Linked DNA regions of Oryctolagus cuniculus. The main gene of each other region encodes a partner of the protein of the gene in region 3 in a complex. Links are inferred from orthologs where the notes say so. Each region holds a gene or a part of one and is shown on either strand. Other genes may lie near its edges.

Region 1 (3,500 bases), on a different chromosome or scaffold from region 3:
TGTTATTATTATCACCTTCACTCTTCATGTGAGAAAACATAAGCTTAAAGTGAACAAGTTAAAGAACCCATTTGAAATCACAAAACTAGAAAACAGCAGAAGTGGGATTAGAACCCAAGTCAAATTAGTTGAAGGTTTAAGCTACACTGTACTGCCACACGGCCCACTGCCTCCTTCTCCAAAAGTATTACTTTCTCTCATTCTTACTAGAAGCTTAGAAAACTTAATTTAAATAGTGTCAAAAAGAAAAACACAGCAAGAGTGGAGGACACCCGTCCTTCCACTAGTCCTCCACCCAGGGGATGCATGCGGCACATGAACCGCCTGGTCCCTGACAGCATTTATATGGGCTGCAATGAAACCTTTGATTGAGGAAGACAATGAGGACCGAAGAGAAAGAAAGTTCTAAGTTATTATTGTAATTTTAGTTGGTATTAAGCACAAAGCTACCACAATCCCAAAAGTCTTCAAAGATTTGCTTCTGTAAGTGGATGCAGGTCAAAGTGAAATACAACACGAACATCACATACCTTGATATCATTGTCTATTCCACCAGAAATAATCTGATCACTTGTGTCATTGAAGGTCACAGCTAACACTTGGTATGTGTTCTGAAATGTCTGGATGGCTGCTTTCTTCCGGATATCCCAAAGCTAAAGCAGAGGAATAGGACAGTCTATCAGTAACATCTCCTTGAGAAGTAACTGCACAACATACTTGGTAGACATGAACACATCTAGAACAAGAACCTCATTCAGAAACTTTCTTGGATGTCCTAGCAACACATGGTAAAAAATGATCACAATTTTGCCAAATTATTTGAAGGCTGGTGGAATAAACTATTTTGGTTATATTTTCAGACTCCTTTGGTAATAAAGTTAGAATAAAATACTGTTAATCAACATGCCCTTGGAAGAAGTCCTCTATAAGTTTACTTCGTATATTCTTTAGGAGAAAGATATTAGACCACTGCCTAAAAAAAAAAAAAAAAAAAAAAAAAAAAAACCCACATATTTACTATTTGAAAGGCAGAGTTACAGTGAGAAAGGAGAGCAAGGGAGAGTGAGAGATCTTCCATTTACTTGTTTACTCCCCAAAATGGCTGAAGCTAGTACAGGCAGAAGCTAGGAGCCAGGAACTCTATCTGGGTGTCTCACATAGGTGGCAGGGGCAAAGCATTTGGCTCATCTTGTGCTGCTTTCCCAGGCACATTAGCTGGGACTGGATTGGAAGCTGAGCAGCCAAGACTTGAACTGGTTCTCATATGGGATGCTGGTGTCACAGGTGGTGGCTTAACCCACTGCATCACAGCTCTGACCCTACCTTGTTTTGTTTTTCAAAGATTTTATTTATTTATTTATTTTTAATTTGACAGGTAGAGTTATAGACAGTGAGAGAGAGACAGAGAAGAAGGTCTTCCTTCTGTTGGCTCATTCCCCAAATGGCCGCTATGGCCGGCGCTGTGCTGATCTGAAGCCAGGAGCCAGGTGCTTCTTCCCGGTCTCCCATGCGGGTACAGGGACCCAAGCACATGGGCCATCCTCCACTGCCTTCCCGGGCCACAGCAGAGAGCTGGACTGTAAGAGGAGCAACCAGGACAGAAGTTGGCGCCCCAACCGGGACTAGAACCTGGGGTGCCAGGGCCGCAGGCGGAGGATTAGCCTTGTGAGCCCCGGCGCTGGCCAGACCGCTCTCTCTTTGTATCCCTACCTTTCTATGTAACTGTCTTTCAAAATAGAAAAAAAAAAAAAAAAAAAAAAAAACTAAACGTTTTCATGTTTAGTTCTAGTCATAATTTCATAACTACATTCATAGTAGATGGTTTACTGTTAGTTATAATTAAAGTCAGTTAGTATCCTCTCCTATCCAAACAGTAATTTTTTAAAAGATCTATTTAATTATTTGAAAGACAGAGTTACAAAAATGGTGAGAAACAGAGAGATCTTCTATCTGCTGGTTCACTTCTCAAATGACCATAGCAGCTGGGACTGGTCTGGGTCAAAGCTAGGAGTTCAGAACTCCATCCAGGTCTCGCACATTGGTCACAGGAGCCCAAATACTTGGGCCATCTTCAGCGGCTTTCCCAGGCGCATTAGCAGGGAGGTGGATCTAAAATAGAGCACCTGGGACTCAAAACAGCACTCCAAAATGAGATATCACTGTCACAACTCTGGCCCCCTAAACAGTAATTTTATTAAATCATTCAGTAAATGTTTGTTGGCTCACCTCTCTGTCTCATCATGAAGGAAAAAACACTAAGATACAGTTCTAGCTCAGAGAGGAAATTGAGAACTGTTAACGAGAGGCAGAACAAAATATTTTTATATAGATTTTTAAAAGTTATGTTATTGGGGGCCGATATTGTGACGCAGTGGATTAAGTCCCCACCTGCAATGCCAGCATCCCATATGAGCACTGGTTCGAGTCCCAGCCTCTCTTTTTCTTCCAATCCAGCTCTCTGCTATGGTCTGGGAAAGCAGTGGAAGAGGACCCAAGTGCTTGGGCTCCTGCATCCGTGTGGCAGACCCGGAAGAAGCTCCTGACTCCTGGCTTCGGATCTGCCCAGTTCTGGCCACTGCGCCATTTGGGGAGTGAACCAGTGGTTGGAAGACTTTCTGTCTTTTCCTCACTCTGTAACTTTGCCTCTCAAATAAATAAATAAATGGCACACTTGCACACTGCTGGTAATAATGCCCCCTGGAGGTTTATGTTGTGTAAAACGGTCTGCCGGGGATCTGGGTTTGTCTTGAAACCCTGCAGCTAAAATTTTTATTGCATGTCTTGATTTATCTTACTGCAGAGTGGAGACTCAGACCTAAATTACTTAGACAGGAATCCTAGCTTTGTCACTTAGTAACCTGGAAAAGTGTACTCCATGTGACTTAGTTTTCTCCTCTATGAAATGGCTCTAAGCATACATGCAGAGCCAATCTACAAAGACTGGGAGAGTTTTTTTTACTTGTTCTAGGTGATAAAAGAATCACTAGTTGATAACTAAAATAATGGAACAAGACTTCAGTAGTTATGCAGGACAAACAACACAGTCTTCACAAAACTAGTTTAAAAAGTCACTAAACTGGGGCCAACACTGTGGCATAGAAGGTTAAGCCTTTGCCTGAGGAGCTGGTGTCCCATATGGGTCCCTGCACCCATGTGGGCAACCCGGAAGAAGCTATTGGCTCCTGACTTCAGCTGGGCCCAGTTCTAGCCCTTTTGGCCATTCGGGGAGTTAACCAGTGGATGGAAGACCTCTGTCTCTTCTTTTCTCTATGAGGAACTCTGCCTCTCAAAAAATAAATAAATCTTAAAAAAAAAAAAAAAAGTCGCAAAACAAACCAACAATGACAACTACAATGGCTCTGGTGTTGGGGCATAGTGGTTTGTTTTGTTTTGTTTTTTTGACAGGCAGAGTGGACAGTGAGAGAGAGAGACAGAGAGAAAGGTCTTCCTTTGCCGTTGGTTCACCCTCCAATGGCCGCCGCGGCCGGCGCACCGTGCTG
Region 2 (3,500 bases), on a different chromosome or scaffold from region 3:
TCCTCCAGGGCCCCTCCCCCAACAACGTGCACGGGCAGACGCCCCGGGAGCAGGGGGACCCCGGGACAGAGCAGCAGCCCACAGGAGCCCAGCGGGGCGCGGGGCGCGGGGCACAGGGGTGGGAAGTGGCAGACGCCGGCAGGTGCGGAGGCTCAGCCGCAGCCCTGCCGCAGTCTTCACAGGCAATTAGGGGCCTCCCTCGGCTCCGGGAGCACCACCCTGCTCGCACCCAAACCCCTCTCCCAGGCTGGCGCCTGCCGGGCCATACCTGGGTCTACTATCTTTATGTTATTCTTGACGTGGAAGAAGTTGGAGACGTTGAACTTGTCCAGATTGGTGGGGTCCTGCGGCAGAGCGAGAGCACTCAGCAGAGCGAGCACAGGGCTGGGCACGGCACCCGGCCACCGGCTGCCCTGAGGCCCGGGACCTCTAACCAGGAAGGGGCATGAGGCAGGTGGGGCCGCCCATTTGCCACACCACGTCCCCTCCCTCCGGGACACCTGGCTAAGGAGCAATGCTCGCTGTGCGGGCAGCCACGTTGGCCCGAGCCTCAGGTCCACCCCATCGGCACCTGCTTTTCTTTCTCTGGTTTATTCTATCGGAAAGGCAGAGGTGGCGAGAAACAGCACAGGCGGAGAGAGAGCTCCCCCCTGCTGGCTGACTCCCCAGGTGACAGCAGTGCCCTGGGCTGGTCAGGCCAGGCCAAAGCCGGGAGCCAGGAGCTCTATCCGGGTCTCCCATGTGGACCATCACCTGCCACCTCCCAGGGTGCGCATTTGCAGGAAGCTGGATGGAGGGGGGCCCTGCCCTGGACTAAGAGCTCTGACACAGGACGTGGGCGTCCCAAGCGGCTTATTAGTCATTATTATTATTATTAATAATTATTATATAATATATATTATATATTATATTATTATTATTATTATTATCAGCTGGGCCAAAACCCCAGCTCTTCAGAGCATGTCACTCGGGACAGGGACACCTGTGCCACATGCCCAGGCACCGTGCACTGCAGCCCCTGCCTAGAGGTGGCAGCCGCCGAGTCAGGGGCCCTGACCCAAGGCAGCGAGAGAGGCAGAATGAGGAGGCAGCTGAGCCGAGGCCAGTGTGACAGAGGTGGGAGGGGGCGGCTGGGGACACTGAGGGTGGCTTCCGGAGACCACCCAGCTGGGCGGGGTGCACCCACCTGCAGGGTGATGATGTCCTGCCGGGAGAAGGGCTCGTCGGTCAGCAGGTCCCGGAAGTTCTTGGCCTTGATGTTCAGCTGCTCCACAGCCTGCAGGAGGAGGGAGCTGGCGTCAGGGGCCCGCCCTAGGCCGCCACACCATCTGGGGAAGAGAACTGGCCAGAGCCAACGGCACAGACCTCACAGGCTTGGGGCCGGCCCTGCCGTGAAGGGTGGGGCTCCCAGACAGCGACCAGAACCAGCTGGGGGACGACTTACAGACAGCAAACAGGCTCAGTGAGCCCTCCCCCCAACACGTGCCTGCCCTGGCATCACCTCCCTCAGCCGGCCAGGAAGAGCCAGGCCAATCTGTGTGCTCCAGGCAAGAAGCGGCCCCCAGAGCCTGGGGCAATGCTGGCCAACAACCCGCAAGGGCCCAAGCTTGGGAGGAGAGGCGGCAAAGCCAGGGGCCTTCCTGCAGGTGGGGCTGCTCCCAGCCTCAGCGGCCGCCTACTCTCCCAACAGCCACTTTGGCCGGAGCTCCTCACCAGCGCCTCTGCACAGCTCCCTCCAGGGGACAGCACCTGGCCTGGCCTGCTCCCCATGCAGCCCTGGGGGCTGGCCCAAGGACAGCCTGGTCTTAGGCGTGGGAGGACCCTCTGGGGTCCCACGGGCCCCAGCCCAGCAGGCAGCAGTGCCTGGATTTCAGGTGCGGAGGCCACGGGAGGCACCCCAGTCTCTGGGCTGATACTGAGCAGGCCCAAGCACCTGGCTCACCACCACCCCCAGCCCACTGCGGCGAGGACGCACCTCGTAGGCGTAGACGTTGCCCGTGGTCCTGACAGCCACGATGTGGGTGTTGTTGGTGAACACGGTAAACAGCACCGGGCAGTGGTACTTCCCTGGGGGATAGGCACACGCCGGGAGGGAGGCCCATCACCGCGCCGGCCCCCGCCATCCCAAGCGACAACTGCCAGGGACCGCCCAGAGCAGGCACCGGGGAGGCGGGGGTGGGAGACAGCAGCTGCTCAGGCCCACCAATGCCGCCTGGAAACTCCTATTCATCCTGCAAGACATGACCTCTGCGCTGCCCCTTCCCCCAGCCCACCTCTGGTGACCACTGCGCCACAGACAGCCCCAGTAGGCCCTCCCCAAGCACACCCTCCAGCCGCCCCGTCAGCTCTGCCTGCACACCCGGCCTGGCCCCTGCCCGGGTCACTGCAGCCAGCGACCATCGGTCTCCGCCAAGTCAATCCCAGGACTCAGAGGTTAAGAGGCTTAGGACACAGGCCACAGTGGTCTGGCCTCAAAGGCTGATTTGAAAACTATGGAGGAAGAGTTAGGAGCGCATCCCAGCGATCTGAGCCCTGGCAGCCCCGGGCCCCGTTCCAGGGATGACAGAGGCGCCCGCTGGGCCGCACGTAAGTAGGGAATGATGCTGGGGCTGGGATCTGCTTCATCTCGGTGGGCCGAGAACGGAGAGGAGCTAGGGCTGAGACGGAGACAGGCACTGCTCTCGGAACGCAAAGCAAAGCAAAAGAGAGAAACTGCTTTTCAAAAAAAACCAACAAAAACACGGAAGACACAGGGGCCAACTGTCCCCCTCCATCCCCTTGGGGGCTCCTTCCAGGCTCTGCACCTTGACCTCAGCCGTGAACTCCCACTGCACTCCCCACCGAGCAAAGACGTCATCAAGTGCACGCCCACCCCAGGGCCTCTGCACTGGTGGTGCCCTGCCTAGAATGCTCTCCCCCACGTGGCTCCCTCCCATCAGACTCCCGCTCTAACCTGTCAGCAAGGGTCCCATCTCCCCCAGCCCGCCCGCTCCTGTCTACGCAGAAGCAGCACCAGACCGTTCTCTGGCTCTCTCCCCGACCAGCACGGAAGCCCCCTCCCTCGGCTGTGCACAGACGGGGCCTCTGTCGCTCTCTGCCTGTGGCAGGTCCTCCTGCAGCCTTTGCTGAGTGAGATCACAGCGGGGCAGAGGCCCGAGTTCCCTGACCTCCACGACTGGCCATGGCGCCCAATGCCACGCGGGCAGTGGGGCTGGCACACCTATGCTCCTGGGAGCCCGGTGCCAGTAACGCACCAGGCCGTGGAAAAGGCAGCCCTGGGCACACATGCCCGGTGAGCGCTGATGACAGCCTACGCAGGCGAGGGAAGCCAGGCCAGGGTCAGCAGGCGAGGCAGCAGCAAGCTGGAGGGTCCCCCACACGGCTGTCTGGACCATGGCGGGGGTCCGTGGGGAGAGCAGGGGGCCCCAGAGCGGGGCTGGGCCTGGGCGGGCCGTGGTGAAGAGGAGCGTGGAAACCCCTTGCGGCCACTCTGGCCTGAG
Region 3 (4,247 bases):
TGACTCGGGCTTGGCCGGCTGCTGCCCGCTGCCCCTGCAGCCCCAGACCCGCTCAGGGTTAAACCACGGGTCCGCCCCTCACCCGCCAGCCCACCCTCCCTCGCCCTGCTTGACCTACCCTGCCTTCTTGTCTTTCTCGGGAGCCTCTTCCTCCTCATCTTCCTCCTCCTCCTCCTGGCGCTTCCTCCGCAGGTGTTTCCGTTTTTTGCGCCTCTTCTGGACGCTGCTCCCAGCCCTGCCCACGGCCTCCTCGCTGCTCTCTTCACTGTCTTCCAGCAGCTGATAAGACCGGTTCTTCTCCAGCAGGGCTCGGGCCTCTCGCTCCGCCGCCCGAGTTGGCTTTTCTACCACCGCCTTCCGCGGTACCTGTCAGGGATAAGCAGCGTGAACAACTCCTGACCGCTGCTCACCCCCCTGGCTGTCCCTGACTTAAGGACTTGATCTTAGATCAGCCAGCATTCCCTCTCCTCCCCATGACTTCATCCTGCTCTCATCTCAACAGAGCCCCTCAGTTTCTGAACTTCCTTTCCGTCATTCACTTTTTTAAAGACTGACTGATTGATTTTAAAGAGCTACAGGCCGGCGCCGCGGCTCACTAGGCTAATCCTCTGCCTAGCAGCGCCGGCACACCGGGTTCTAGTCCCGGTCGGGGCGCCGGATTCTGTCCCAGTTGCCCCTCTTCCAGGCCAGCTCTCTGCTGTGGCCAGGGAGTGCAGTGGAGGATGGCCCAGGTGCTTGGGCCCTGCACCCCATGGGAGACCAGGAAAAGCACCTGGCTCCTGGCTCCTGCCATCGGATCAGCGCAGTGCGCCGGCCGCGGCGGCCATTGGAGGGTGAACCAACGGCAAAAGGAAGACCTTTCTCTCTGTCTCTCTCTCTCACTGTCCACTCTGCCTGTCAAAAAAAAAAAAAAAAAAAAAGAAAAGAAAAAGAAAGACAGAGCTACAGAGAGGCAGAGAGAAAGGTCTTCCACCTGCTGGTTCACACCCCAGATGGCCACAACCCTATCTAAGCCAGGAGCTAGGACATTTCTCCGGGACGCCCAAGTGGGTGCAGGGGCACAAGACTTGGCCATCCTCTACTGCTTTCCTAGGTGCATTAGCAGAGAGCTGAATCAGAAGTGGAGCAGTTGGGACCCGAACCAGTACCATATGGAATGCCGGCGCTGTAGGCGGCAGCTTCACCCCCTATACCACAGCCTCCTTGTTTAACACACGTTTAATGAGGTCTATCCCACCTGTCGGGTACTTGCTAGGTACTAGGGATCCAGAATGAACAAAAATCTCTGCCCTCCCAGAGCTTACAACCCCACACCCAGTTCTCAATCACTTGGCCACTTTCTTATAGTTCTGCTTTTCCCAAGGATTTAAGTCATTCCTACACAAGGACTGACAGGCTACAAGGGTTAACTCTGCAATGTGGGGCCGGCGCTGTGGCGCAGCAGGTTAAAGCCCTGGCCTGAAGCGCCTGCATCCCATATGGGTGCCGGTTCTAGTCCCGGCTGCTCCTCTTCTGATCCCGCTCTCTGCTATGGCCTGGGAAAGCAGTAGAAGATGGCCCAAGTCCTTGGGCCCCTGCACCCACGTGAGAGACCTGGAAGAAGCTCCTGTCTTCGGATCGGTGTGGCTTCAGCCATTGCGGCCACCTGGGGGTGAATCAGTGGATGGAAGACCTCTCTGTCTCTACCTCTCTCTGTAACTCTGTCTTTCAAATAAATAAAATAAATCTTAAAAAAAGAAAAAAAAAAAAAAAAAACTCCAAAACTTCGCAATGTGACACCGGCTGTCACACATCACCACATCACCTGTAGATGGCAGGATACACCGGCCACAGGTCCGCAGGCGGAGCCGCACCAGGCTCTCTACCGTTCTGGGACACTCCCACTCTGTGCACACATGGGGCCCTGCTCTGTCCGACAGACAACGGCTGGGCAGGAGGACTACCCGGACAGACGCCAGCGATCCTCCAGGAGTTCACCGCTCACACCTTCGCTCCCTCCCCCTTCTCCACTTGACAAATCCCCGGGGATCCTTGGGCCTGAGTTTGCTGAACACTGTCCCCGCCGCCTCTTCTGCTCTCCCGCAGTGTTTCCCAACCACCTCTTCTAGAGCCTGGCCACTTACAGCCCGGCCCGCGGACCACGGGCATTTGAACAAGGACCACAGCTGACTCCTACGCAGGTTGAAGCTGGAGGAACATTGCTTTACAGCACTCAACCCACCCCATGTAAGACCTGCCGGATGCTCTCCACCGAGCCGGACGCCCGGCACCAGGCACAGTACCCAGCCTACAGTCGGCAAAGGATGACTGTGCCTTTAGCTTATTTATCTCCCCGATGGACAACCGGGCCAGCCTCCCCCGGACGCGTAACTCGGGGCCCTCCCCTGCCCCGCCCCTCGGACACCTTGTTCCAGAGCCTCAGAGCGAAGTCCCGCGCCGGCCCGCCCAGGTCCAGCGTGTCGGTGTCTCGTAGGCGCTGCACGAACTCCTCAGCCGAGGCGCAGCGCTGCGCGGTTCCAATGAGGAACTGGGCGACGTGCCGCTCGCTCAGTCCCAGCACCGAGTGCAGCTCCTCCTGAACCCAGCGCTCCAGCCCCGCCGGCGTCGCCATGGCCACCCACCTGCCCGGTCCTCAGCGCTGAGGCGTCCGGAGCAGCCGCGCCGGCGGCCGGGCCTGTGGCAGGCCCGGGGCACCGGGCCGGAGCCTTAGCCCCGCGACGGAGCTGCTTTAGAACCTCAGGGTTCGGTTTCCAACAGTCCAAACCCGCCTTCCGCCGAGCCCGGAAGAGGATGCTCGTTTCCGGCCTAAGCACTACGGTGGCTACGCGAGTTCAAATCTCGCAGAATCAAATCTCGCTCTGGGTAGCACATTTTCCTTCCCTGCCCGATTTCTCTATCGCCCCCTGATGGTCAGTGGAGGCTTCGCTAATTCATTCGTTCAAAGGAGATTAATTCAATGAGCGCCTAAAAAAAGGCGTTTTAAGCACGGTGTAAAATGTTGGGGATACTGCAGACGGTAAATCAGACAAAACATCGAGTTTACATTCAGAGTTCAAGGGAGGTAAGCCACATAATAAATAAGTAAAAGTACATATTTTCTACCGGGTCTAAAATAGTTCAAGGTAAGGGGACGCGGGCTGCCGGCTTTATTTCAAATGAGATCATGTTCATGCTGTGAAAGATTAGCAGGTGCTGAGCAGGATTGACCTTTGCTAGAAATGGTATCTGCAACAAAAGTGAATACAGGTTAGCTATAAGGGGAGTTCCAAGCAGGAAGAAAGTTGGAACTGGGGAAACTGTTGCAAGAAAAAATTTGGGCCAGCCGGCGCTGTGGCACATCAGGTTAAAGCACCAGTATCCCATATGGGTGCCTGTTTGAGTCCCAGCTGTTCCATTTCTGATACAGCTCCCAATGCAGGAAAGCAGCAGAGAATAGCCCAAGTCCTTGCGCCCCTGCACCCACAAAGGAGACCTGAAAAAGCTCTGGGCTTCAGATTGGCTTAGCTCCGGCCCTTGCAGCCATTTGGGCAGTGAACCAGCAGATGGAATACGTCTCTCTCTCTCTCTCTCTCTCTCTCTCTCTCTGTCTATCCCTCTCTTTGTAACTGTCTTTCAAATAAAGAAAAAATTTTCCTTAAAAAAAAAAAGACAAAATTATCTGAAATGGGCAAACTGTGTTCAGCGTTTGTGCTGTCAGTTTGATTAATTCACTGGTGGCTGCTTATTGAAAGATAAGCTGGGGCCAGCGCTGTGGCGCAGCGGGTTAACACCCTGGCCTAAAGCACCAGCATCCCATATGGGTGCCGGTTCTAGTCCCGGCTGCTCCACTTCCCATCCAGCTCTCTACTGTGGCCTGGGAAAGCAGTAGAAGATGGCCCAGGTCCTTGGGCCCCTGCACCTGCGTGGGAGACTTGGAAGAAGCTCCTGGCTTCTGGCTCCAGATCAGCACAGCTCGGCCATGGCAGCCATCTGGGGAGTGAATCTCAGATGGAAGACCTCTCTCACTCTCACTCTGCCTCTCTGTAACTCTGCTTTTAAAATAAATAAATAAAATAAAGAAAGAAAAAGAAAGATAAGCTGAGAGGGCTGGCATTTTACAGTGGGTTAAGACACTGCCTACATCCTATATGGGTGCTGTTTTGTGCCCCAGCTGGTCCACTTCTGACCCAGCCCTCTGCTAATGTGCCCAGGAAAGCAACAGAGGATGGCCCAACCAGTGTGTGAGATCCGGAAGAAGCTCCTGGCTT
Region 4 (3,500 bases), on a different chromosome or scaffold from region 3:
GTGCTTAAAGACACAGCGTGCTGAACTGAGGATCTGGATGCAGAGTCTCTGGTCACTGAACACAGCCCCCAAGACACATCGCTGTGCATGTGTGCATTAACCCGCACATGGGCTCCGCCTGACACAGAGATGATCCTCACTGACGAGAGATAAATTACTCCTACACCAGAAGAGAAGGTGGCACAGAAGGAAAAGATATCCTACAAAAAGCTGAAGAAACAAAAACTTACGGGCTGGGAATAAATTCAGCATAAAACAAATACAAATTAAAAGCAAAAAAAAAAAGTTAATAACAGTGAGATATCTCGTGAAATCACTATGTTTGGAATTTCACAATGCACTTCTAAATAATCCATGGATCAGAGATCCAAGAAGAAATATTTTAAAAATCCATAATACATGAAAAAACTCTCAGTAAACTAAGAATAGAAGGGAGCTTCCTCAACTTAGTAAGGTTTACTGACAAAAAACATAATTTACAAAGCCATTTTTAATGGTAGAAGACCACGTTCTCCTAAGATCAGGAATAAAGCTCTTCCTACTCCTAGCCAGCATCTGTACTGGAAAGGCTACCTAATGCCACACACAGGAAAAGAAACAAAAGGCATTCAGAATGGAAAGAAGCAGCAAAACGGTCTGTATTCAAAAACAGCATGATCTTCTAGATACAAAATCTGATGGAGTTTACAAAAAAAGCTATTGTACAAGATGAGCTGAAAAACTGACAATATTTGTTACCAATGGAAAAATTCAAGCTTTTAAGTGTAAATTAGAATTTTGAAAAATTGTCACCATAATTCTTTAGCTTCCCATATTTAAAGAGACTTGCAGTAAGGTAAGACTAGCGAAAGTATAACTGTATAATGAAAACATGTCAGCATTTGGAAGAGCTGAAAAACTCAGCAAACCAGTATTTTGCAAATGATCAATGAGTGATGTTATAAAATCACGTATGGGGGCAGGCATCTGATGTACTGATTAAGATGCTACTTGGAATGCCAGCATCCCTTACCACAGTCTGGGTTTGAGTCCCAGCTCCACTCCAGATTCCAGCTTCCTGCTAATGCAAACCCTGGGAGGTAGCAGGTGATGGCTCAAGTGGTTAGATTCCTACCACCCATGTGGGAGATCTACATTGAATTCTGGCTCCTGGCTTTCAACTGGCCCAGCCTTGGCTAAAACAAGCACTTGAGACATGACACAGCACATAGGAAATCCATCTGTCTGTCTCTCTGCCTTTCAAATTAAATAAGTAAGTAGACAAAAAATTAGAACAAGAGTCTAGAAATAACAACAAAAATGAACTGAAGTCAAAGATTCACTCAAACTAGGAAAAAGATAAATGGATTTTTATGCAACAGTATGAAAAGTTCCCTGATATGGTTTCAGATCCCACTAAGTAACCTTCAAGAAACTGGCACTTACTTGAGATGTTGTACAGTATCAGTGAATATAATATGTGTTCCCTTCTCCACCTAGCCTATGTGCAAGGCTGACTTTTCTTTAGCTAAACAACATTTCACAACAGACAAATGCAGACCCCAGCTGCTGAAGTCAGACATTAATGAGACTTGCAAAAGCATAGATCAACACTATCCTTGTCAGTACTTTTTTAATTTGAAAAATATAGCTATTTTTTATAAAAGTAATATGGCAATTATTTTAACACGTAACAGCTTTACTTTTTTAGAATAAATTAAAATAAGAATAGTATATTCTAAATTAATATTTAATTAATATTTTTAGAATAAATATAATTAAATGTCTCAGTTTTAATCTCTAATATGGCAAATATTAATATAATCTATGTAAATAAATAAAAGCTTTTGGGAATCCTAAATAATTTTTAAGAGTGTAAAGGGGTCATGAGATTAAAAATTTTGAGAATCACTGTGTTAGATACTAGAATGTTCTTTAGCAGGCAAGAGGAGATGGGATCTAATAAGTAAGTAGAAGGACTGACTTGGAGTAGGAGAAAATACAGCTCATACATCATAACAGACAAGAAGTTAGAGTACATGGAAACAGATGCTGGTGGTTGAATAGATGAGAGTCTGTGAAACATTACAAGCAGCTCACTGCTCAGAGAGTGAAGGAAATGAAGGTTCAGGGACTACATTTTAAAGATACAGACCACAATCCATAACTCATTCCCTCTAAACCTTAGAAAATATCATTAAAAGGCCAATGTCCAAGACAAAAGATGCCCTACCTTGACCACGTCAATTCTGAAAAAGAAACAGGAGGGAGGGGAGTGTTCCAAGTATGGGAAATAGGATTTGTGAACCTCAGAACTAGAAGCAAGCAAAATGTGTATTATTCACCTTGTGATTACAGCAGAGAATGAGGCAGAGTATAGAGTGATTTAAAAACAGTGAGGAAAGATTAAGGTCAGACAGAAGAGAAAATGAAAATGTAGGAAATAATCATGATTACCTGTCCACTCCATCCCAGCGATATCCAGGCCAGATATTGAATCTGTTGGGAGGAGGTGCTGGGCCATTGTAGCGAGGTCGCACTAATGAGAGGAATGAAAAAAAAAAAATAGTTTCTGCATTGTAGTGCAGTGGGTCAAGCCGCCACCCGCAATGCTGGCATCGCATGTGAGCACTGGTTTGAGTCCTGGCTGCTCTGCATCCAATGGAGCTCCCTATTAATATGCCTAGGAAAACAGTGGAAGATGGCTCATTTACTCGGGCCCCTCCCACCCACATGGAAGATCGGATGGAGTTCCAGGCTCTCAGCTTCCACCTGGCCCAGCCCTGGCCATTGGGGCCTCTTGGGGAGTGAACCAGCAGATGGAAGATGGATCTCTGTCTCTCCCCTGCACATCTGCCTTTCAAAAAAAGTCTCAAGTTGAACCTAACTTTATAAATACAAGGAATTTAAAAGTGTATGAGAGGGGCTGGTGGTGTAGCCAGAAAAGCCATCGTTGCAATGCCAGCATCCCATATGGACACCAGTTTGAGTCCCGGCTGCTCTACTTCCAAACCATCTCCTTGCTAATGCACCTGGGAAAGCAGCAGAGGAAGGCCCTAATAATTGGGCCCTTGTACCTACACGGGAGACCTAGAAAAAGCTCCTGGCTCCTGGCTTCAGACTGGCCCAGCTCTGGCCGTTGGCCATTTGGGGAGTGAACCAGCAGATAGAAGATTTCTCTCTCTCTGTCTCTCCCTCTCTCTGTAACTCTTTCTTTCAAATAAATAAATAAATCTTAAAACACAAACAAAAAACCAAAGTTGTTCAAATCTCAACTTTAGAGACAAACTGCTTTAAAAAAAAAAAAAAAAGTGAATGGGAAAGCCTTCTTTGCACATAGCTGTGTATTAGTACCCTAATAACTGTCTTTCTTCACATAAATCCCCTCTAGTCACTTCTGGTGACTGCCGGAAGTCTCACCTTTCTTATTCTTGCTCTCCTTGGCCTTACTCTTCTTGATGAAGTTGGCCATGGGGTCTCCTTCTCTTTCTTGTTCTCTCAGCATCCGATCCAGATCTTCA
Region 5 (2,985 bases), on a different chromosome or scaffold from region 3:
GAGAACGCTAGTACAACTGTCCCGGGCCCAGCTGGCTGCCGCTGCCCTAAAGGCTGAATGGGTTACCATCTAGGCACACCTGCAGTGATTCAGACTGGTTGAGTGGGTCTGCTGTGGCGGTTTGCGCCGTAATAGAATTAGAGAGAGGGTAATAGATGGCGTTCAAACAGCTGGACAGTTTGAAATGAAGCCTGCCTTTTTGAGACGCTGCCTGTTTTTCTTAGATCAAAGGAAGAACTATCCGGGTAGATCATGTGGCTAATTATCGGGTTCCTAAAGTCTCAGAAGACATGGACGATGTGACCAGAGAGCTCCAGGCGATGGGCTGTGGTGTTAATACCCCCTCACCGAGTTCATCTGAGGATTCTGAAGAAGAGAAACCCATAAAAAAGCACAAAAAAGGTAAAACATTCAAACCCAAGAGAAACTTGGCAGTCTTAGCATCTGTTCCTCCTAGAGTTCATTGATGGTTGATAATCGGGTCATAAGTATGCGAAGGAGAGGTGGGGGGACCTTATTTTAATTGGGGAAGGGGAGGTGTCAGCAGAAGACTCCTGTTCTGGGTTGAATTGTGTTCCCCAGAATCGACACGTTGAACTCCTCACCCCTAGTCCACTGTGACTGCATCTGGACATGTGGTTTTCAGAGAGAGACTGGAGTGGGAATGGCCGTGCCCAGCAACTTGACGTTGCGGGTGACAGACATCGAAGTTGCTTCCCCGCAGCACTTTCCCAGAAGCACAGGGTGACGGCTTCACGCTGCTGCCCAGCCTATTTTCCTTGCCCATGGGCTCCCCTCCCGGCAGGCAGGCATTGGTAAACTGGTCTACCTTTGCTGGATGTCACGTACACGGAGAGGAAAGACATGGCTTTAGGGAGTTCTATTTCCCTTTTGTTACCGATTGTCGCCCTTCTTCTCCAGACAAAATGGAAAAAAAGAAAAGACGGAAAGAGAAAGAGAAAGAGAAGAGTGACCGGACAGTACTGGTCGAGCAACCATCTCCCTCTTCCTTGCCCAGAAGCAAGACAATAAAGGAAAAGGATGAGCCTGGCCCTAAGACAAGCAGCACCAAGGGCTCCGAGAAGGTGCCGAAGTCGGAGTCCAGGGAAGCACGGAAGCACTACCCTGTCTCCCCTGAGGTCAGAACTGTCCCCCGCGGTGGAGTTGAGGACCTGGCCAGGGAGCTGAAGAAGGAGAAATCCAAGCATGAGCACAGGTCCTCCGACAGGAGAGAGGCCAGAGAAGAAAGGAACAGGGATAGGGACAAAGGACGAAGCTCAGACGCGTGTTCTAGCTGGCACAATGGGCATTCGGATGGGTGGAGCCATCGGAGTAGAAGTCGGAGCCGAGATCGATCTCACAGACAGAAGAAGTCCCGTAGCTCCCGGGAGCGGGAGTCCTCAAATCTCAGTGAGCGTAGGCGTCACTGAAGCCAGTTCAGCCGCTCGGTAGATCTGGAAATGAAATGTGTTTCTAAAATGCAGTCAGATTCAGCTACGCCATTACTTCTCCATATGAAATCTCTAGAGCTGATTTTTAAAAAATCCCTTGAGTAGTGGAGTCCTTGAGAAGGCTGTGGTTTCATTGGCAGATACCCTGCATTTTCTAGTACAATCCATCATCCCTGGAAATATACTTGGAACTTAACAGAGAACGTGTCCTGAATTTTCGTTCATAAATTGGCCATGGGGCCCATAGCCCCCCCAGCTTGAGATGAAATTGCCAGAAAAGGAAAATTACAGACAATTCTAGAGGCCTAGTCTTTGTCTTCAATGTTGAGAACCCAGCATTCTAAGACTTCCAGTTAGCAGGTAGAACTGCAGTGAAGTGTGGTTTAACTAGGTTCAGACAGCTGGAGGTGAATGTGATGGGATTCTTTTTTTTTTAAGTATTAATTTTATTTATTTGAAAGGCAGTGTTACAGAGGAAGGGAGGGAGAGACACAGAGATCTTCCATCTGCTGGTTTACTCCCCAAATGGCCACAACAGCCAGGGCTGGGCCAGGCTGAAGCCAGGAGCCAGGGACTCCATCCAGGTCTCCCACATGGGTTTGGGGACCCAAGTACTCAGGCTATCTTTCACTGCTTTGCTGGGCGCATTTAGCAGAGAACTGGATCGGAAGTGAAGCAGCTGCAGCTCAAAACTGTTGCTCATCTGAGATGCCAGCATCACAGGAGCCAGCTTACCACTGCACTACAACGCCAGTGCCTGATGGGATTCTTAAGAACAACCAGCTCCCTCTCTAAACCCTGTTTGAAAACAGCTTTAAATGTCTTGTCTTTTTCTTTTTTTGGTTGAGATATTTTTCCACATACTTTTTTCCCTTGGAATTCTTTGTATTGATGTGAAATGCAGATAACATAAAGTTAACCAATTCAAAGCAATTCAGTGGCACTTATATTCACCATGTTGTGCAAACACCACCTGTGTCTAGTTTTGAAGCATTCACATTGTCCCCAAATAAAACCTAATACCTATTAAGCAATAACGTGCCATTACCCCTATCCTCCCTGTCCCTGGAAGCCACCCATCTGCTTTCTGTGTCTATGGATTTGCCTGTTTGGGATGCTCCACAGAGCAGGAATCACACAGCAGTGGCGTTTTGTGTCTGGCTTCCTTCACTAAGCATAATGTTTTCTAGGTTCATCCATGTTATAGCATGTATCAGTACTGCACTCTGTTTTAAGGCTCAATAATATCCTGTTGAGAGACCACGCTTTGTTTCTCCATTCCTTGGGACGGACGTTAGGATTGTTTCTACCTTTGGTTAGTCAGCTTCCTGTTTTGTGTGCAGACACGCCAGGCGACCTTCTGTGCTTGGTTTGCTTTTCACGTAGCCGCTCTTGCTCAGGTGGGAACACTGGTAGCTCCATCGCACACCTTTGGTCTGATTGGTAGTTCCTTCTCATTTTGAATCTTAGTTTCTATTATAGCACTCAGCCCCTTATGAATTTGGCAGGAACTGGTTCACAGGCCCTGCTGCAG
Region 6 (4,134 bases), on a different chromosome or scaffold from region 3:
TAGGCTTCTCCTTAAACACCACATCCTCTGGAAATTCCTTTTGGCCTTCCCTGTACCCTGTTTGGTGGCCTCTCCACGTGTTTCCTAAGGCCTTGATTTTAATTTGTCACAGCACTGTTCCCACCTTCTGTACATTTCTCTCTCTTGTAAGTTGTGTGAAGAGCAGCTCTCTTTGTTTACCACTGAATTCCCAGTGCTTAGCCGAGAATCTGGCGTGCAGTAGGCACTTAATAGCGCCCGTTTCCTCTCTCACAACTCCGGAAGTGCTCGCCCCCAAACTGCAGTTGGTAGAGAAGCACTTGCAATCCCCCAAGAGCTGTCTTTAGAATAAGGTTCAGAAAAGGCAGCCGCACAACAACGAATGAGGTCAAATAATGGGCGGGAAGCGCAGGTTTAAATAAGTTGGGGTTCTGAGTCCGAGGACTGTGCAAAATCTTTTTGCACTGTGAATCTGCTGCAGAGCACCTGGGTAAGGCCGATTGACGGCGAAGCCGGTCCTTGCTAGAACCTCCAACAAGCGGGTAGGTGCGGAGCAGGGCATCTCACAAGCACTTCCTCCCCAGGGCCTACCGTCTGGGGCTCAGTGACCTCTGGACACAGAGCTGAGAGCTAGAAGGAACCTCAGATCCAACAGCGCTACTTCTTTGCAGTTAAGGAAACTGAGGCCGAGAAAGTCCAGGCCTGAAGTCTCAGGCCACACAGCAGCGGCGTGCAACCGAGTAGAACCCCGCACGCCCGCCCGCTTCATCCCAGTGCCAGCAATGCCTCTGGCTACCCGGACCCTCCAGGAGCTCCCACTCCCGATTTCACTTTAAGCCATACCGAAGTCGAGGCAGGGTTTTCTCGGGCGCCCGCCAGCTGGGGCCTACAGTTAGTCACTGCCCTTCCTTCTTCCCTCCCGTCCACAACACACTTCCCCTGTCATCCCGGGCGACTGGGGCTCGGCTAGGGGACGAGGAGGTTTCCTGCCTTCGGAGCTGTCGTGTAAACTTTCCCGGGTGAGCCAGCCAGACCGGTTCATTTCAGGGCCGCCAGCTAAAGGCCCTCTGCTCTCCTCCCCAGCTCACCGCCCTCTACCCTGCCCCACCGCTCCCTTCCTGCTCGGACGCACGCGTCCTCCTGTTAGGCTTCACCTGGGACTGCCATGACGCTGGTATAAAGGGTCGCCGGAGCCTTCAGCTGTCGAGAAAGCGTCTGCTTCCCGCCCGCTGCGGGGACAAAGTTCAGCAAAAGCGGCCGCCTCTCACTCGCTCCGAGGCACCTTCGCGACAGGCAGGGAAGGCCCTATAAGCCTCTAGCGATAGCGGAACCAAGAAGCTGCGGATGCAGTTTCCGGGCGAGTCATAGTGCATACTCCACCTGGTCTGAACCATTGCGGCTAGCTTTTGGGGGGGTGAGTGTGACTTGCACACGATTATGGTGCAACAGACACTATCAAGATTTACGGAGAGTTCCTTTTAATAGTGATACAACAATTTACAATTTATATCAAGCCAGTGAAGCTTTAGGATATTTTTATCATTCCGTTGACGATATCGGACTTCCCTTTCTCTGAGTTAGCGGTGGTCTGGTCTAGGAGGAACATGGCGGCGTCCGTGAGAGGCTAGTTTTGGGTGAAAGTAGTGCTTGGTGCTAATTGTCTTGCGTGATACTGACCAACTGAAGCTTTCCCAGGCCATCTAACTTAAGGAAGCGTGTAATGAAAAAAGAACAGCTTTAGGAACCAGCCGTCCGCTCGCATCCCCAGTAAAGAACAGAGCCCTGAGCACTGACCAGCATGAGCAACATCTACATCCAGGAGCCTCCCACGAACGGGAAGGTGAGCATCTTACCTGGTATTATCACCTGGTCTCCCTAAACTGAGACCTCCCAGGTTCGGTGAGTCCAAGGACCTTCCGGTTGGCAGAAACCACGAGATGTGTTGTCCACGGACAGTGTTGCGTAGAGAACACCGAAGTTGTCACTTCTCAGCATGCACTTGGAAAAAATGCTTAACTGGAGGTTTCTCTAACAGCCTCTGACCTTATTTCTTGTGTTAACCCAACTCAGGCTGGGGTTTTCCAGGATCTTAGGTTTGCTAAAGTACATTTTTTAGTGTGACATATTCTTTGTTTGACTTGGACAGCGTTAATTCTCCGTTCTTTGTACGCCTTGCCTGTTAGGCGCCAGGCACTGTACTCGGTACTGGTAATAGAAAGATGGACGAGGGCTAGTTGTTGCCCAGGAAAAGCTTATAATTTAGGTTGAGGGACAAGAAGGTAAAGAAAAACTTTATGCTGTGTCTGTTTGTGGAGAGGAGAGGTAGGTCTGTTTGTGGAGAGGAGAGCATATTGTCATGGCAATGCTGAAGAGTGAGCAACTAAGAAAGTTTTGAAAAACCTTGTAGACAAAGTATCTTTTGAGCTGGTCTTATAATGTGAGATACTGTCAGACAGAGTGGAGAATGGGAGATGTTACCACATTAGAATGGGAGAATGATTCTCTAGTTTGGTGGTCAAGATAGGGAAATCCCCATCCAAGGTATTTGTGTACAGTATGAGACAGAGGAGTTAATCCTGGGATAACTGTCTTCTGAATTCTTGAACTGAGACCTAGTCCATATCACATATGGAATGTGATGAACTAAATAAATGGTGGGATTGAAACTATATAATTGAATTAGGATAAATAAATTTACATAAAATATGATTCTGTTGCATGCTTGTATCAAATTATTTATACAATCTTTTTTTCCCTGACATTTGGTAAGGTGAATTTTAGTGGGCATTTTGGGCAGAATTAGTCTTGCAGTTCCTTGCTGTTTGAACTTTCCCAGGCATTGTAGCTTAGCATCCCCATCCCACTCGCCACCTTCATCCACTTTCCCACCCTTTCTCTACCTCAGTGTGAAAACCCCAACTACCTACCTTCTCATATTTTCAAATGTTTCTTGAATGCACTGTCGCTCTCAGTTGATAAACACTGGTAAGGATCCAGTAGGTTGCTCATCTGGTTTGCTGTTTTACCTCTTACGTATGTCATCCTTGGTAAGGTAGTCTTTCTCCTTTTCTGTGAAATAGCAGATCTCAGCCATGCCCTGCATCCCATCATTTTCTGACTCCCTTAATGTCTAGGTTTTTTCCTATAGTATTTATTATGTATTTATTTATTATATCCTCCCCACTGCTCTCCCCCCATAGCCTGTAAAAACCATGAGGGTGGAGTCAAGCATCTAAAATAGTGTTTGACACATGGTAGAAGGAGTTCAAGTATTTGCTGGCTGGCTGGATGAATTAATGCTGGTGTTTCTCTTAGCTTCTGAGATGTATTAAGCATCAGTGAGTTGGAGTTTATACTGCTGCTAGTCGAGCCAGACTTGGTTGCTTTATTCTAGAGAAAAGTTTGACAAGATCATGTAGATGAAAAGCTTTCGCAAGGATACATTCCGGAGTAGGAGATCATTCATTCTATGCATATTTATCAAGCACCTAGCTCTTGCCAGGCTCTCTGCTATGTTTTCAAGATACAGTGGAAAGAAAAACAGCAACATCCTCATTTTTTGGAATCACTTGAATGAAATAATCAGGCAAATAAATATGTAATTACAAGTTGTGATGAATGTTGTTTTTCTTCTGAATGGAAAAGGGCTGATGGAGAACATGAAACAGCCCAAGGCCTCCTCCAAAACCGGTTTGAGACTTCTTCCAGCGTAAGGCTGATTTAAGACATTGCAGCTTCAAAGTTCTGTACTGCAAAAAGCATGGCAAGAGTTTTGGCCTGGAAATAATTTAAAGCAGCTATAATAACAAGTCTGCTGAATGAATGTTTGCTTAATTATTTACTGTTTAGTGGTATGTAGTTTCTGAAAGGATGCATAGATATTTGGAATCATTAGAACAAAAGTCTTCCCTTCTAAAAGTATGGTATCATTTTGGGAAATAACTGACACACGACATCAGTGGTGGTCCATATGTATTCACTGTGTTATGCTGTGGTCCTGACTCCTGAAGACTACGCATAGAAATATAGTACTAGCTGGAACTTTTCATAAGCATTAAAAAAACTCACTGAAGATAAAATTTCCATATACTATTATCACTTAATCTAAATTAAGTGTAATGTATGTATTCTTAAGAAGCATGATATTTTGGAAGT

Evidence for each region.
Region 1: DHX16 (region 3) and SNRNP40 share a complex: the UniProt entries of both Homo sapiens proteins name them as parts of the minor spliceosome. The link is inferred for Oryctolagus cuniculus from reciprocal best matches to the Homo sapiens genes DHX16 and SNRNP40.
Region 2: DHX16 (region 3) and PPIL2 share a complex: the UniProt entries of both Homo sapiens proteins name them as parts of the minor spliceosome. The link is inferred for Oryctolagus cuniculus from reciprocal best matches to the Homo sapiens genes DHX16 and PPIL2.
Region 4: DHX16 (region 3) and BUD13 share a complex: the UniProt entries of both Homo sapiens proteins name them as parts of the minor spliceosome. The link is inferred for Oryctolagus cuniculus from reciprocal best matches to the Homo sapiens genes DHX16 and BUD13.
Region 5: DHX16 (region 3) and RBMX2 share a complex: the UniProt entries of both Homo sapiens proteins name them as parts of the minor spliceosome. The link is inferred for Oryctolagus cuniculus from reciprocal best matches to the Homo sapiens genes DHX16 and RBMX2.
Region 6: DHX16 (region 3) and CWC27 share a complex: the UniProt entries of both Homo sapiens proteins name them as parts of the minor spliceosome. The link is inferred for Oryctolagus cuniculus from reciprocal best matches to the Homo sapiens genes DHX16 and CWC27.

What each region holds. Positions count from the first base shown.
Region 1 is NC_091438.1:141,089,577-141,093,076, reverse strand, and holds part of SNRNP40 (U5 small nuclear ribonucleoprotein 40 kDa protein), read right to left. Parts: intron 654-3,500; coding exon 531-653; intron 1-530. UniProt on the Homo sapiens protein: Required for pre-mRNA splicing as component of the activated spliceosome. Component of the U5 small nuclear ribonucleoprotein (snRNP) complex and the U4/U6-U5 tri-snRNP complex, building blocks of the spliceosome.
Region 2 is NC_091452.1:29,116,114-29,119,613, forward strand, and holds part of PPIL2 (RING-type E3 ubiquitin-protein ligase PPIL2), read right to left. Parts: intron 2,068-3,500; coding exon 1,976-2,067; intron 1,277-1,975; coding exon 1,187-1,276; intron 345-1,186; coding exon 269-344; intron 1-268. UniProt on the Homo sapiens protein: Has a ubiquitin-protein ligase activity acting as an E3 ubiquitin protein ligase or as an ubiquitin-ubiquitin ligase promoting elongation of ubiquitin chains on substrates.
Region 3 is NC_091436.1:139,758,352-139,762,598, reverse strand, and holds the start of DHX16 (pre-mRNA-splicing factor ATP-dependent RNA helicase DHX16), read right to left. Parts: upstream 2,801-4,247; 5' UTR 2,612-2,800; coding exon 2,405-2,611; intron 367-2,404; coding exon 119-366; intron 35-118; coding exon 1-34. UniProt on the Homo sapiens protein: Required for pre-mRNA splicing as a component of the spliceosome. Contributes to pre-mRNA splicing after spliceosome formation and prior to the first transesterification reaction.
Region 4 is NC_091432.1:108,711,949-108,715,448, forward strand, and holds part of BUD13 (BUD13 homolog), read right to left. Parts: coding exon 3,400-3,500; intron 2,519-3,399; coding exon 2,437-2,518; intron 1-2,436. UniProt on the Homo sapiens protein: Involved in pre-mRNA splicing as component of the activated spliceosome. As a component of the minor spliceosome, involved in the splicing of U12-type introns in pre-mRNAs.
Region 5 is NC_091453.1:108,064,832-108,067,816, forward strand, and holds the end of RBMX2 (RNA-binding motif protein, X-linked 2), read left to right. Parts: intron 1-224; coding exon 225-402; intron 403-921; coding exon 922-1,430; 3' UTR 1,431-2,485; downstream 2,486-2,985. UniProt on the Homo sapiens protein: Involved in pre-mRNA splicing as component of the activated spliceosome. As a component of the minor spliceosome, involved in the splicing of U12-type introns in pre-mRNAs.
Region 6 is NC_091445.1:85,759,123-85,763,256, forward strand, and holds the start of CWC27 (spliceosome-associated protein CWC27 homolog), read left to right. Parts: upstream 1-1,334; 5' UTR 1,335-1,777; coding exon 1,778-1,819; intron 1,820-4,134. UniProt on the Homo sapiens protein: As part of the spliceosome, plays a role in pre-mRNA splicing. Probable inactive PPIase with no peptidyl-prolyl cis-trans isomerase activity. As a component of the minor spliceosome, involved in the splicing of U12-type introns in pre-mRNAs.